Linked DNA regions of Oryzias latipes. The protein of the gene in region 2 interacts with the protein of the main gene of each other region in a biochemical or structural test. Links are inferred from orthologs where the notes say so. Each region holds a gene or a part of one and is shown on either strand. Other genes may lie near its edges.

Region 1 (8,365 bases), on a different chromosome or scaffold from region 2:
GTGGAAAGATTTCATGTAATCCATGGACACCAGTGAAGATCACAAATCATTGCAGAAAAAAGGTTCAGAGCTCTGTGCCTAAAGTGCCTAGGATAGCACAAGGGTTAAGGAACTTATAACTTTATGAAAGTTTCACTTTCGCTCAGTAGTTGATCAAAAGTTGTAGAATTTCACCTTAAAATGGGTTAGTCTTCTACTCAGCAGACGGACCCCCCCAGTACAGTGAGGAACCCTACGGTTCTGCCAGGCCCGCCCGTCTCCAGCTCATGATCAGGACGACCACGGTGCAGCACTCATGAACCTGATTCTTTCCCGCTGTAAATTCCCTCAATGCATCGCGTAAATCTACACCCCCACTGAATGCTGGGAGTTGCATCAAAAATGCTCCCCGCACAAAACACAAATCACACTGAGAAAAGAATTTAATGATGTAAAAAAACGAAAGCATCTTCTGAGGGGGAGAAAGATCAGGAAAACACAGATCGGACAGACAAACTAACAAAAAGTTCCATCAGATCTCACTGAGCACAGGTTCGCCTCATCCTCCAACAAAGAAGAAAGTCCAGTCCAGGAAAGCAGGAGTTCCTCATGAGCTCAGAGTAAACGTCTGCAGCTCAGGTGCTGCAAGCCGAGTCGGTCCTTTTGTACGCCACCATGCTGCTCACTTTGTGGATAGAGGTGGTGAAGGAGCGCAAGCGCACCTCCTCTGATTGGTCGATTATCTGAGGCCCCGACTCTTCCCACTTGTCAGGAACCACCAAGTCTTTGTCCGTATACACCAGGAGGTCAAAGGAGCCTGCAAGAACAACTAATCAGAGGGCCGGCCGAGCAGGGAGGAGCTGCAGGAGTCACAGATGGATTATGGGAACTCACACTGCGTCTCCAGCAGAGGCAGGAAGGTGACGGTGGCCGTGATCTGTCTGATGACGGAGCGGATCTCATCCTGAATGGTCTTGATGGACTTCTCTCTGGGAGCACTGCTTTGAAAGGATCAGAGTCAGAGGTCAGCACACAGAAACAAAGGCTGGACTGCCCCCCTACCCCTCTGGCTCCAGCTGAAGGGGCATTTTGGAGCTGTAGTGGTGTCCCACAGTGATTCAAAGGAGGAGCCGTGGTGGATTGCTGGTAGGACGATCCGCGTCACGCTGTGGCGTTGAGGAGAAACGCATTTCCTCACGTGGGTGTGCGCTGAAGCACAGACGTTTACATTTAAATGTAAGTCATGACTTTGTTTATGCGTGACTTTTTAAATAAAACCCATGATGTGTATTTTCTGAGCGCTAACGCAGCAGACCGACTACTATTCATGACGTTGTGGAGCGGTTGTAACGTCCGGATTTGAAGACACTTTTCTCCATAAACTCAGTCATTGTAGCTATTTGGACGGCAGAGCAGCAGCCTGAAATAAAAACCACAGAAACGTTTGCTCCCTCAGAATGAGAACCTGATTTGGAGTACATGCCGAGTCCCAACCCCACAGAAAACCTTTTTTAAGGTTTAAACCGAATCCCAATTCCTCCCAGCTCCTGCCCATCCCCCCTCCAGCAGTTATGGAAACATTTGAACATTACCAGTCCTGGATGGCGTCATCAATAGCTGCATATCTTCTACGTTAGCATTTAGCTGCCAGCGCTAGAGAAACACACAACATGGGTTTTCTAGCCTTGACCTACATTTAAATGTAAACTCTGCTTCAGAACACGCCTATGTGAAGAAATGCGCTTCTCGTCCACGCCACAGCGCGCCGCGGATCACGCTAGCGGTGGTGGGATAGCCAGCCCCTGGAGAAGCTCCTTTCCTCTTGAGACATTTGGAACTGGAGAGCGGGCTCACCTGCTCTCTTTGGCCGACTTGTCACACTCGATGTCAAACTGCCATCGCTCCAGCACCTCGTTGGTCTCCAGGCAGGTGATGACCAGCACCAGCTTCTGCACGCTGCACTCAAACAGCCATTCTGAAACCCAAACCCGCGTTACACGCCTGCTTTAAGGCCTAACACGCAGACCAGGTAAGTCCAGGCTCAGAGATTTGCAGATCACCGTCCCGTTTTACCTGGACCAGGTGTGTCCATCTGGAAAACAAGCCTGTTCTAACATGACACAAGAAAAACCTATTCCTGCTGTTTCAACACCACCAACACACGAACCGAGCTACACAAACGTCTTCAGGATGCTAATTTTCTGCTGATTCTTGATAGATAGCTTGTGGTGTCCCACAAGGATCAATTCTGGGCCCGCTGCTATTCAGTATTTACATAAATGATATATTCAATGTCTCACAACTATTAAAACTCATTATTTGCTGATGACAGATCTATTCTATTCCATTCTACAAACAATCATAGGGAACTTAATGTGGTGAACATAGAGTTAACCCTTGTGCTGTCTTAGATGACCCCACCCTTACATGGATGTGTTATTCCTACCATGACAAAGGTGGATAAAGGTGGAAAGATGTCATGGAATCCATGGACACCAGTGAAGATCACAAATCATTGAAGAAAAAAGGTTCAGAGCACTGTCTAGTGGGTCTAGATGACCCAACTCCCAACGTTAAAGTGCCTAGGATAGAACAAGGGTCACACAAAATAAAATCATGGCTGACGACAAATCCTCCTTTAACCCAGATAAAACTAGTGTGACATATTTTGCTAACTACTACACCAATACCGATGTCTCAATTAAAATAAATGTCTTAATTTAAAGTGTTACAGAATTCAGATTCTCAGGCGTTTTTATCGATGACAAACTAAGTTAAAGCCTCACATCAGACACACACAAAATAAAGTCTCCAAAAGTATTTCCATCATAAGTAAATCTAAACATATTAAAATACGACAGTAGATATTTATTACACTGCTCCTTAATTTTACCATATTTGACCGACTGTGTAGAAATTTGGGGGACTGATTCTAAGAGTTCACTACATCCTCTGTTTACTTCAAAAATGAGCCGTCAGAACTGAACATAAAGCCGGATATCCTGATCATACAAACAATTTGATCAATCCAGACTTCTAAAACTGTATGATCTTGTTGTGTTTTAACTTCTATTCAGAGCCAGTGGGAAATCGTTACCATTCAATACCAAACAACACAAAAGAGTTCTTAGAAAATGAAGGAGGAACAAAGTGAGGGGATGCAGGAACTTCAAGACCAAACTGACAAGAACCACAAAGACAAGTTTGTGTCTCATTCAATCAAGCAAATGTGACTTACGGTTTTAATCTATGCATTTCATCATTTCTGTAATGACTTTGAGAAATCTGTGTAAATTCTTCAATGTTGCGTCTGACCCTAAATTATGATGAACTCTTTGGGCTTTTAGAGGACTTTTGGGCAGGAAAACATCACTATTTAGGCACATCGACACGTGGAAACAACATGAGGTGTCAATCATCCCAACATCCACCTCCATATCCCATAAATCTGTAAAGAGAAACAATATCCCACGCCTCTTGTCTTCAATAAGCCTTTGCTGGACGCTGACAGACAGGAATTGCATCTTGATCATTGCCTCCATGTTAAGAAATAGAAAAATAAAGTCCTAACAGACACGGCCTGCTTTAGGACAAAGAAAGGACAAACTACCTTTGAGTTGAGACACCACGTTGGTCAGGTAGTTGTTCAGCCTGGGCTCCGTGGAGACCTGGAGGCTCATGTCATAGTGAGTGACCCTGGTGAACGTCTCTGGGGGGTAAATGCCCCGCTGGTACAGGATGCTGTTGATGCCGAAGGCTGTGGGGAGGATCACGGGGCTGTTATTAGCGGGGGGGGGGTTGTGACGTTAATTCAGGTCAAAGACTGAGAACACTCTTTTCGTCCACACTACTCTACGTTAGTTACTCAGCCGATGATAAGTAGTTTGTGTCTGTTCAACCCGAAATCTAGCATTCCTACTTTAACTCTGGTGACGCTCGGCTTCTTTACCAGCACACCTGGCGGTGGGCGGTGTTAGAAAGCCGCCATTAACCTACACATCGACCAGAAGCAGCCATTCGATCTTTAAGAAGTTGGCTTCAGAAGGAAGGCTTTTAAAATGCTGCGACGGTTTAGGGCTCTGCCTTCGGTCTGGAGCCGCCGTAAATACACTCGCTGGCTACACACAACAACCGAGCACGCGGGCCCGACCGCCCGCTAGCACACAACAAATGAGGAAGAGCCGTTGAAAAGCCCGGCTAGTACAGAAACAAATGTTGAAACATACAGAAAAACTCGGCCACCAGCTCCGCGCTTCCTTTAAGGGTGATTCCTTTTAAAGTACTCGTCATTTCATGAAATGACAATCAACCGTTGAAAAGAAACGTCGGGCTTCTTGCTGCACTGAAGGCTGAAACTGGTACCCGCCGTCCGATTTGAAAAATCAGTGACAACCTCTACGCATGCGCAAAAAAGACAGACCTCCCCACGTGGTCAACCCTAGACAGGAGAAAATGACTTTTTTCTTTTTTTGAAACTTTATTTATACAACAGTAAACATCACATCGGCAAGTTTACCGTCAGATGGCAAAAATCAATGTTATCTTAAAAAATAAAGAATAAATTATAGTATGTAAATAAAATTAACAGGGACATCGTTAGCAAAAAGGAAAATTTAAAAACAAAAATAAATAAAAATATATTAAAGTATTTCTCAGTAGAGGGAACTATTCATCAAGCAAAAAAGCTCATATTGTTTCAGTGTTATGCCTTGAATGTAATAATCTTTTGAAGATATTAGTAAAATTGATAATCTCTATCAAAAATCCTGTAAAATTGTTTTTTTGGTTTTTTTTACTCAGCACTTATTTAAATAGAAGTAGTAACAAATCAATACTATTTCCTACCAATTGATCCTGCGAGTTAAAATATGTAAGAATGTGTTTGAAATATATAATAATAGTACTGTTCATGCTTATAAATCTTTTCAATTGGATCCAGAATTTAAGGGAGAATTGACAATGGCAGAAAAGGCGAAGAACTGATTTTGGGAAATCATTACAAAAGCTACAGTTATTTCCTATATTTGAGAATTTGAATATGAACATAGTGTGGGGTAAATGTTATGTAGAATTCATTTGTGTATTTCTTTAATTTTGTTATTTATGCCAAATGTTTCTGGCAGTAACTATGCTTTTGTCCAAATGATAGTTAAAATATTATTCCAATAAATTTCTCCTTTAGGTGTTATGCTTCTTTTTTCATATAAAGTAGTAAATATATGTTTGTTGTAGCATTTTTTATTGAAAATATCAATATCATTAATTGTCAATAGAGGGTCTATTTTTAGATGCCTTGTGATATTTAACCCTTGTGCTATCTTATGTCCCCACCCTTGAGTAACCGGCAGGTCGGCCTGTGACAGGTGCATGCCTGCTTGATTGGGGATGTAGTTCAGCTGTTCTGCTTCTTTATAAGGAACAGGGAGTGAGTTGACAGACAGTGGCTGCCTGCCTGCATGGTGGTATGTATGGCTGAAGCTCCTCTTGTCGGAGAATGTAGATCACCGGTTACTCATTTTTATTCTGCTCTTTTAACTAGATTCTGTTAGCGGCTGGACGTGTTGCAGATGTCATGAGCCACTGCGTGTTCTTTACCCACCCTTATTATACATTTTAATGTGTTTTAGAGTGGTGCTGTATTTATTGTGTTGTTGACTCTGATTCCTTTTTATTGTTGCATAGGTGTGAGTCGGGCGCCAGTGCGTGTGGTGTTGGTGAAGGGGCCCCTTGTGGCAGCGTCTTCCTCACTGTATTTATTTCCTTTTTAGTGTGTAGTGGAAGTTTCTTTGGCACGTTTTTCTTGTGTGTGTGTGTGGATTTGTTTTCAGCACGGAGTGGAGTGAGGTGCGCTATGTAATCCATGGACACCAGTGAAGATCACAAATCATTGAAGAAAAAAGGTTCAGAGCACTGTCTAGTGGGTCTAGATGACCCAACTCCCAACGGTAAAGTGCCTAAGATAGCACAAGGGTTACGGGGAGAGGTCATTAGTTGAAATAATCCTGAGGGAAGAGCTTTCATTACAATTTTCAATTCTTTTTGCTTGTTATTGGAAAATATTTTTTAAGAACCTGTCATAACCCAAAAGGGTCTTTTATTTTTTTAAACCAGTGTGGTGAAAAATTATGTAACACAGTGTACTGGGTGGCTGTGGGGTCGCGTTCTAAGTTCCGGTGTTCATTGAACGCATCAAGCAGAAATGCTGATTGGCTCTCAGTTCTGTCGCTCAACCTGTAGTTGGGGAGTTTGGTCCAATAGGGTTCAGCTATGGCCCGAATAAGGAAATGGGGCTGATGCAGGAGCAAGGGAATAAAGTTTGGGGGAGTGCTCTCAGCGGGAGGATACAAGAGTTTCTGGGCAAGTTGTGCAGCATTGGTTACAGCCTACAGTAACCAGAATAAATAACCTTAACCCTTGTGCTATCCTAGGCACTTTAACGTTGGGAGTTGGGTCATCTAGACCCACTAGACAGTGCTCTGAACCTTTGTTCTTCAATGATTTGTGATCTTCACTGGTGTCCATGGATTACATGAAATCTTTCCACCTTTATCCCCCTTTGTCATGGTAGGGAGAACACCTCAATGGAAGGGGGGGGTCATCTAAAATAGCACAAGGGTTAAGAGATTAAGTCTCCGTGCCTCAGTGTGTGGGAAAGGGACGCTACAATTGCATTACCGGGGCAGCTCTTTCGGCCAAGGCGAGCAATTAAGAGTTCTGGCTGTTGACATCGACAGATTAGTTAACCAGATTTATGCTCACATGCCCCCAGCCATTCAGGAAGAGCTAGCCCGGGACCAGACGACCTTCGCGTTCAAACCCAACCAGCGCACCGTAAGTTACTGCAGGAGGCCCTGGAGCTGGCCACAGAGAGAAAAATGCTGTGGAGGCCCTCCTCCAGGGTGGAGCTTGAGGCCCCTCCAAAGGTTAGAGCTGCAAGTGTATCAGAGCCTGACACCAAGGGGCCTGCACGGGCAGAGGAGCTGACCCAGCTAGTAAAAGCTGTGACCCTGAGAAACGAACAGGCATCCAAGGTCCGCCCCCAAAGAGACTGGAGCTGACCCAGGACCTCCTGGGGTTGTGGGAAACCTGGGCACTTGATTCGTGACTGCCCGGACAACCAAGGAAACAGGAACGGGACCGCATAAGCGGGACAATGTGGCCCCCTGAAAAACCATCCCGATTGGACCCACAGAAATGGAATGCTGGCCATGTGGGGGTCAAAGAAGTCCCATCTGAGAGACTAATGACTTTGGGCCGAACCTGGGTTGGTGACTGCTGGTTCACAACTATGAGTGTTGATGCAGCGTCATGCTTAGCTTTAGTGGACACAGGTTCATCTGCAACACTGCCCTGCAGTGGTGAGGAATAATGCAGCCATCCTTCCTAACGCTGTAACATTACAGACTGTTACTGGAGAACGGACTTTCATGCAGGGGGAGGCTGTTGTGACTCTGGAGGTGGGAAACCAGCAAGTGAATTGGCCTGTGTGGATTGCTGACTTGGAAGAATGCTTACCAGGCCTTGATTTTTTTTTGCGGGCCCAAGGTTGTGTTATTGATACCAAGAGAGGAACCCTTACATTTTCTGATGGACATGTTATCCAGATGACCAAATTTCCTCTAGATCGGGGTCCCATGTAGTTCACACCCTGTCCATGACTGACAAAACCAAGTCTGATTCAAGAAAAAAGAAGAGCTCTGTCTGTTATGTATATCCAGATGAGCCACCCAAACCATCTGTGAATAAAACACCTATAGACACAGAAAAGATGGCAGCGGTAAGCACCTGGTCTGTTTCCACCTGACCCTGTTCTGCCCTTTCTACTGGACACGGATGCCAGCAATGTGGGCTGTGGTGCAGTTCTGTCCCAGGTAAGACCTGTGGGGGACAGAGTGGTTGCATACTACAGCTGGACCTTTAACAAAGTTGAGCAAGGCTAGTGCTCCACCCGAATGGAACTCCTCGCTGTGGTCAGTGCCATTAGACACTTCAGATATTACCTGGGGGGTCTTCATTTCACGGTCAGGACTGATCAGGCTGCCCTACAGTGGCTGATGTCTTTTAAGGAGCCGGAGGGCCAGCTGGCGCGCTGGATTGAGGAGCCACAGGCCAAGTCAGGCCAGTGGCACGGCACCAGAACACTGATGCACTGTCACAGCGGCCATGTGTCACAGAGGACTGCCGCTATTGGCCTTTATTTTTTTATTAAGGTCAAAATGTGAAAAAAATCCAGAAAATCACATCGTCCGATCTTTTTAATAATTTATATATTTAGTTTATTTATTATTAATTATTTGTGTAAATTATGGTGGAAAATAAGTCTTTGGTCACTGACAAACAATCAAGATTTCTGTCTCTCAGACCTGTAACTACTTCTGTAGAGGAT
Region 2 (7,114 bases):
AGACAGACACATGAATCATAACTAATGTTACAAGTTAAGGCAGAGCAAATTTTTAAGAATAAAATCTAAAAAAAAAAAAAAAAATGACGCTATTTGCAACATTTGGGCCTACTTCAGTGTTGGTCATCGACCAAAATAAAGTTTTCATCGGCAACATTGTTGTAGGGCAGGTAGCATTAGAATTTAGAAAGAACATGCATCAAGCTGTGAGGACTTACCCTTTTCTTTATCTCTTTTTTCCTCTTCTTCTTTTCTTTTCTTTCTAAATTGGGCACCAGATGGCTTTGACCTTTTTTTCTCCATATTTTAGATGTTTTTGGCGTTTGTTTGGCATAAATGTCCTCACGTCACGAAGAAGACATCAAGTCCGTCGACTGAACCAACTGTCACCTTAGTGACAGCATTGTTTTGTGTTGCCATTTTTTCATTTGGGCATTTAACACAAAATTAACCCAAAAAAAGCAGAATATATTTTCTATACCTTTATTAAAGTGTAGGTTATAGAATGTCACCTTATGACTGACTTATAAAAAGGTTTTATGAAGTAGATTCAAACCCCCGCCCTTGTCCCCACCTAGCCACTTAATTTGGAAGCGTCCCACAATTGAACTGATTCCCCGCAGCCCCCCCCCCCTTTCTTCACACATTTCCAGCAGGAGCGCGTGCAGCTATAGCCAGGGGCGCTGATTCGCTACATGACGGCGCAGTCGCAGTTTTTACTTTTATTTTTTTCATCAAGCCCGCGACCGTCGCCTCCCCTGAAAGATGAGCCCGCCAGGTTTTGCGCATGCGCAAACGCGGTGGTGCTCCGTGCTCCCCCCGCGCCCCCTCCCTTCTTCTTCACACACATTTGTGTCTACTTCTCAAAGACAGGAGAGCGCACAGCTGCGGGGCGAGGGCGGCGGCGCGGCCAGGTTCAGGCTGTTACAAACTCACAAACTGTGACATAAGTTAACCAATAGTGGTGCATATAATATTTTACAAGGGCTGAGCCGCCGGTGCCGCCCCCCTTCAGTTTTCCGCCCCAGGCCACCGCCCGGACGGCCCGTGCCTAGAACCGCTACTGGGCGGTCCCCTGACTTTACGCCGAAAGTCTCAGGAATCTCATAAAATACGTCACTATAATCCGGTCCGTTCGATCCGCGTTCGGTTCCATTCGGTTCCGCTCCCTGACATCACGTCGGGGTCACCAAAATTGTAGGAAAGAATCTTTCCGCTTTTCAGATCTTTCCATCCATGCGTGTTCAATTGTCGGGAGAGGTAAAACAGACCACGGATTCAACCGGATTAAAAATACACAAAGTTTATTGCCATAACAAATAGTTCTAACACAGATTAAAACACATTGTTGCAGATATCTGGATTCTCAAGTTAAAAGGCCTACAGACGCATAAGTTACATGCGAATTACTCGTAGGTGTTCTTGAGAACAATAGAATACTTCCAAAATAGTCCTTTTAACATGTGTGTTGAAACTCCTCCTTCAGGAAACATCGTGGCGGCCGAATCTCCGCCCCTGGTTGCTCTGATTCGTCATATAGCCCGCCTGCTCTCACCGGCCAATAGATGGAATAGCAGCCTCTGGATTTGCTCCTCTCTGTCGTCGGACCAGATAGGAAGGTGCACCCGGTGCACCCATGAAAAGATTCCCTATTAGGGCCTAATAAATCCTTCCCAGATAACCGAAGACTCCATCACAGACATTAGGGCAGAGGTTAGCTCCAACCTCCACATGAGAACACGAATCTGAACACTTTCCCAGGGATAAGACCTTCAACCCAGATGGTAGAAATGCAGTCCATGGCATATTTATGGGGTCTTTGCAAAACTCCTAGATTTGCACAAAGAACATTCTATTTCTTTCACAGGGGTGTGCAGGAGAAAAGTTTGCCGCTGAAGTCATAAAGAAAAAAGAAATTTCACAGGAGAATAAGTCTTGAGAGTTCAAAATGAGTTCACTTCACACTTAAGATTAAGCTGCAATCTAATAAAGTATAAGATACAAAAACATACATTTCTACAGTACACAGGCGCTGATAGACTCGGGAGGAGGAGGAACAGGAGGATGAAGCTGACCAATGGAATGATGCTGACTTTGAGGTCATCGATATAGATGACGCATCACCTCCCGCTGACACGGGTGGAGGCGAAGTGCTGTCCTCAGAGGGCTGTTCTGTAGGCGGAGACACAAACTGCTGCGCTCCTTGGACAGAGAAAAGACGGTGTCCTCCTTGAGGGGTTTCTGAAAACCATCCAGATGAAGGCCCTCCAGGCCTGGAGCCGGCCCCCCCTGATGTCCTGACACTGAGTGGAACCCCAACTAGAGCCAAAGGTTTTTGAAGGACACACGGGCAAACTGTTGTGTAATGTCCTAATGGTTGATTGTCAGATGATAAATCTGCTGTTGTGTGTTCAGATATGGCAAGCCAGAGGGTCCATAAACGCTTTTACTTTATTTTAAGTGATTAGTTGTACTCATGGATTACATGAGTGGGGTCATCTAAGATAGCACAAGGGTTTTAACCCTTGTGCTATCTTAGATGACCCCACCCTTACATTGACGTGTTCTCCCTACCATGACAAAGGTGGATAAAGGTGGAAGGATTTCATGTAATCCATGGACACCAGTGAAGATCACAAATCATTGAAGAAAAAAGGTTCAGAGCACTGTCTAGTGGGTCTAGATGACCCAACTCCCAATGTTAAAGTGCCTAGGATAGCACAAGGGTTATTACCATGCAGTTAGACTTTGAATAAGGGAAACAACTGAATACTTGACATTTTTATTTTCAGTCTGACACCTTCACCCACAGCATCATCCATTAAAAACCACCAAAAACACTTGAATTTGTACATTTATACAAACACACACATGCTGCGCACATCTGAGAGGAGCTGAGGGTTCCGTCTCCGCCTGCTTTCAGAACAGTTAGATACTAAACCACAATGAAATAACGGACTCTGCGTAGAATAAATTATTAAGAGTATTGCAACAGTCCCACAGTTATAAAACAAACGGATGATTCTGGACAATCATCAGCTCCATGAAAGTTAGAGGAAAAGGGCACCCTTTGAACAGAATGCATTAAACATCAGCCTGTGTTCACAACTATCAGGCTGATCTGTAAAGAACCCCCTGAGGAGCACAGACTCCTGGTTAAAAACCAGAGAGTAGGGGAGGCCATTAGCACCAGTTAGCTGGCTTTCAGGGGCTCATCAGAACTGCTCCATCAGCTGTCGGAGGTAGGGCGCCTTAGAAATCTGCCTGTTGACCCGAGACAGCTTGTAGAGAACGGGACAGTCCAGGGAGATGCAGGGAACCTGCCGCTCAGTGCCACCGCTGCAGCTCCTGCAGATCTGAGCACAAACAGGTCTGTCAGGACAATCTAGTGTTTGGTTTCATTTCATTTTTTAGAGGGGGAAAAAGGAAAACCGACATGAAACCTTCGCATCTTCTTCATTAAGTGCAGCTCAAAAGAGCAAACCTTCGGCGTCTCACAGTCCAGAGCTCCTGAGAGCGTCCTCACCTTCAGCAGCTGCTCCTGCTGGCTCTCCCACTGCCTCATGTCCTGGTACAGAGTGACGGCGACCCGCTGCGGTTCGGCCCGGCACTGCGAGCACACTCCCAGCTGAGTCAGCTCGTCGCACACGGGACAGTGCAGCGTGGTGAAATACTGGGAGATGGTTCCCTTCCTGCCCACCTCGTCTCCTGCTGCCGCCGCCGAGCATGACGCCTTCTGGACCTGCGGATGGGTGGAGCAAACAGCCATTCAGTCATGCCACAACCCATCAGAGGAAGATGTTTATATTCATCGGTCTATGATGTAGTACAGTTAGAAAGAGGAACTGCTGCAGTGCGTTAGGAAGCTCTGCCAGCAGGGGGCAGCAGTGTCCCAGAGATCTGCTTCTCCATCCTTCAATGCTTCTTAAAGGAAAGCTCAAAAGCCCCCCCGTGTCCTGCTGGCTCCTCACCCGGGGCAGCTCCTGGTACCAGCTGAACACGTCCACCCCTATCAGCTGGAACATGCGGGCAAGCGGCGGCAGAATCTGTTTGGTGATGTAGTAAGTGGCGTTGAGGCGCAGGGTTGGATCCTGGAGCACGTCCAGGGGGCGGCGCACCAGCTGGATGAGGGGGACGCCAGGAGTCCCATACACCACCACGTACGGCACACGCTCGCCCACACGCGGCTCCAAACGCCGGTCGTAGGACAGCATCCGTCTGAGGAGAGACAAGCGTTGAGTTCTGCTGCTGGTTCCCTGATGATGGACATGGGCTTCTCTGGTTCTGCTGAACAGATGGACCAGCAGAACCGCACCCATGTCAGATTCTTCACTGCGCGACACACCTGGTGAGCTCCAGCGCCGGGACGCAAGCTCCCGGCCGGTAGGAGCCGCTGCCCCGGTACTCCTTGGCGAAGGTCAGGTCCTGCATGCTGGCCCGGCCGTCCAGAACCTTCAGACACTGACACTGCACGAACTGCTTGACCTGGCTGATGTCCCGGGTCTCAAACAGCAGCTTAATAGATCGCTCTAGGATCTGAAATCGACAAACATACAACCCTTTGTAGAGTGACTAAATAATGGAGAATCTATAATCTGTGTTGATCCACGTTGCTCTTTCCTAAACTTTAGAAAAATCTAGTTTTTGGTTTAGTCTAGGTCAGATATTAGTAGAGAGGAAGAATCACTATGTTGTGTCCCTGAATCAAAATGGGGACTTTGACGTCAAAGGTGGGAACACCTGGGAGGAATCTCAGCCCCACAGCTAGAAAACTACATACTAAACCAAAGGAACCAGTTCAAAGACTCTGTGTTGAATGAGAACCGACAGGTGTGTGCAGAAGCCTGACAGCACAATTAAGATGGAGGCAGAAGGAGCCGGTTACCTTGGAAACAGCGGGGCAACCGTCACGCCGAACGGTTTCGATCCCCTTGGCGTCAAACACCGGCTCCTTCTGGTCCAGGCTCTCGTACATGTAGCCCACGTACCTCTTCTTGGTCTGCAGCACGCACGGCAGGTACACCTGAAGAATGAGGGTTTTAGGATCACGCCAAGCAGGAACCAAAAACATAAAAACGTGGAGGCGTCCTCCTGAAGGAGCGGCGTCAGCTCCTAGAAGACTGTTACCTTCTCAAACTTTAGCTTGACCGGTTTGGGGTTGGTGGCAGTGACGGCTTCGGCGATCTCATTCCCGATCCTGAAGGCCTGCTCTTTGGTGGCTCCTTTCAGTAGAACAAACATGCTGGCAGAAACACAACAGGAGTGTCGTTACACAAACGGTTTCTCATCAGAGACAAGAGATCCAGTTACTTCCATCCAGCAACTAATCAACACACAAGTCAATGAAACAGAAAATTAAAGGTGTGAAGACGATTATTACAAGCTTCAATCGGACTTCTGCCAGTGAGGAGGAGGTCCTCTCCAAGGAAGTGAACTCATCTGAGGCTAAAATTCTCCATGTTGATCTGTCAATTGTTCAAAGGTTGGAACAAAGATCAACAGGTTTGCCTTTCAGCTCAGCTCTTGCCTCAGTCCTAATTACTGTAGAAGACTCCCAAATCCTGGTACCATCCCTATCTTTGAAGATGCCCCTTTGCAAAGCGTTCTGCTTCTGCACAGCTCTGCATTGGCATCACTGTGACACAAACGACGCCATTCATTCGTCTCTGACCTCCAACTGAACCTCAGATTTATAGACCCCACTCAGAATTCCAGGTGAAACATCTTCAGAACCTGTAGGATGATCCTTTATCAGGTTTGGGGTTCATGAAGACCACAGTAAAGGTCATGATGAAGCAAAAGAAGATCTCCTAGTAAATAACAACTTCATCTCCTCCTTGAGCCTTGAGGCTGGTTTAAAACCCAAAGAAGGTGGAGCCAAAGTCCTTCATGGTTTAAGCACTAGATGGCATAATAGAAAATCAAGCCTGTCTCTATTCACTTCAATGTAAACGGATCTAACCCGTCATGTTGGTTCCAACGCCCTTTTCCCTTCAGTGGATACATTTGAATCAGGAATGATTGTTCTGGGAATGAATTATTTTGAGCCTCATAATTTTATAGTTAGAATACAAATGATTCTAAAGTGGGGGCGCGGAGATTAGATTAACACATGCTAAAATAGTCTTGGAGGTTTGTTCCCTTAACCTTTCAGAACACACCCCAAATTTGGTCAATTTTCCCATTTTATAAAAAATAAATGGGTTTGAAGTCAATGAAAGACAAGCAAACAACTGGCTTCAACACGTCATAAAATTCCAGATTTGTTCAGTCTCTCGTATGCAGAAAACACAAAAATCTTTTCCAGATCACTAAAACACCCAAAGACTTATTGGGTTACACTCCAAAATCCACAGTTTTTAATCACAACGGTTCAAAAGTAGCCCTGAATACAATTCCCATTTGTGTTTCTTATGATTTCAACATCTAACTTGTAGAACCAACAAGTCAAAAGTCCAAAAATGTCAGATCCAAAAGAAATCTATGGATTGTTTCAGGAAGTTCCGCTTCTTTAGTGACGATAAGAACAGTTTGGCTACAAATCCTGTGGAAACCTGAATGTTTCTCATCACATACATCAGATTCAGTGCCATAAGTCACCTGTCTGTGTCTCCATACACCACTCTGGCTCCCCATTTCTTGGTATCGTTGACCTGCTTGATGGCTCTCTCCAGCGTCTCCCTGGCTTTGTGGACGATACTGTCTCCCACCTGTAGAAGACAGACGGCACATTTGTGTGGACGCAGAGGTGAACGGGTCAAGACTGGACGCTTTGACCGAGCAGCAGGAAATACCAGAAAGAAGGTGGTGCGCTCACCTCCACGCTTGGCATGCGCCCAGAATAGTTGGCGGAGGTGTAGCCGAAGGTGACGTTGGCGATGAGTTTGAGTCCGAGCTGGCGGGCATCCAGCAGCTTCATCAGGGCTTTGTCCTGCTTGTAGGTCTTCATGGACTGCTTTACCATGATTCTGGTGTTGAGGATCTCCTCTAGCATCCGGGGCAAGACGCCTTTACGCACCGTGGACTGAAAGCAAAAACACACGCGGAGCGCCGTTTAAGCTCCTGCTCATTTAAAACCCAACTCGATGATCTTAAAGATCAAGTCAAACCAAAG

What was found. The genes of interacting proteins can lie anywhere in the genome.
Region 1: the proteins of rev3l (region 2) and mad2l1 form a complex in vitro, tested with the Homo sapiens proteins (2 studies listed by BioGRID). The link is inferred for Oryzias latipes from reciprocal best matches to the Homo sapiens genes REV3L and MAD2L1.

What each region holds. Positions count from the first base shown.
Region 1 is NC_019876.2:30,700,505-30,708,869, forward strand, and holds mad2l1 (mitotic spindle assembly checkpoint protein MAD2A), read right to left. Parts: upstream 4,391-8,365; 5' UTR 4,270-4,390; coding exon 4,206-4,269; intron 3,737-4,205; coding exon 3,590-3,736; intron 1,955-3,589; coding exon 1,834-1,954; intron 981-1,833; coding exon of another isoform or gene 978-980; coding exon 874-977; intron 797-873; coding exon 615-796; 3' UTR 405-614; downstream 1-404. UniProt on the Homo sapiens protein: Component of the spindle-assembly checkpoint that prevents the onset of anaphase until all chromosomes are properly aligned at the metaphase plate.
Region 2 is NC_019882.2:10,271,791-10,278,904, reverse strand, and holds the end of rev3l (DNA polymerase zeta catalytic subunit), read right to left. Parts: intron 7,025-7,114; coding exon 6,818-7,024; intron 6,711-6,817; coding exon 6,601-6,710; intron 5,243-6,600; coding exon 5,128-5,242; intron 5,024-5,127; coding exon 4,886-5,023; intron 4,537-4,885; coding exon 4,346-4,536; intron 4,219-4,345; coding exon 3,972-4,218; intron 3,743-3,971; coding exon 3,444-3,742; intron 3,357-3,443; coding exon 3,230-3,356; coding exon of another isoform or gene 3,216-3,229; 3' UTR 2,767-3,215; downstream 1-2,766. UniProt on the Homo sapiens protein: Catalytic subunit of the DNA polymerase zeta complex, an error-prone polymerase specialized in translesion DNA synthesis (TLS). Lacks an intrinsic 3'-5' exonuclease activity and thus has no proofreading function.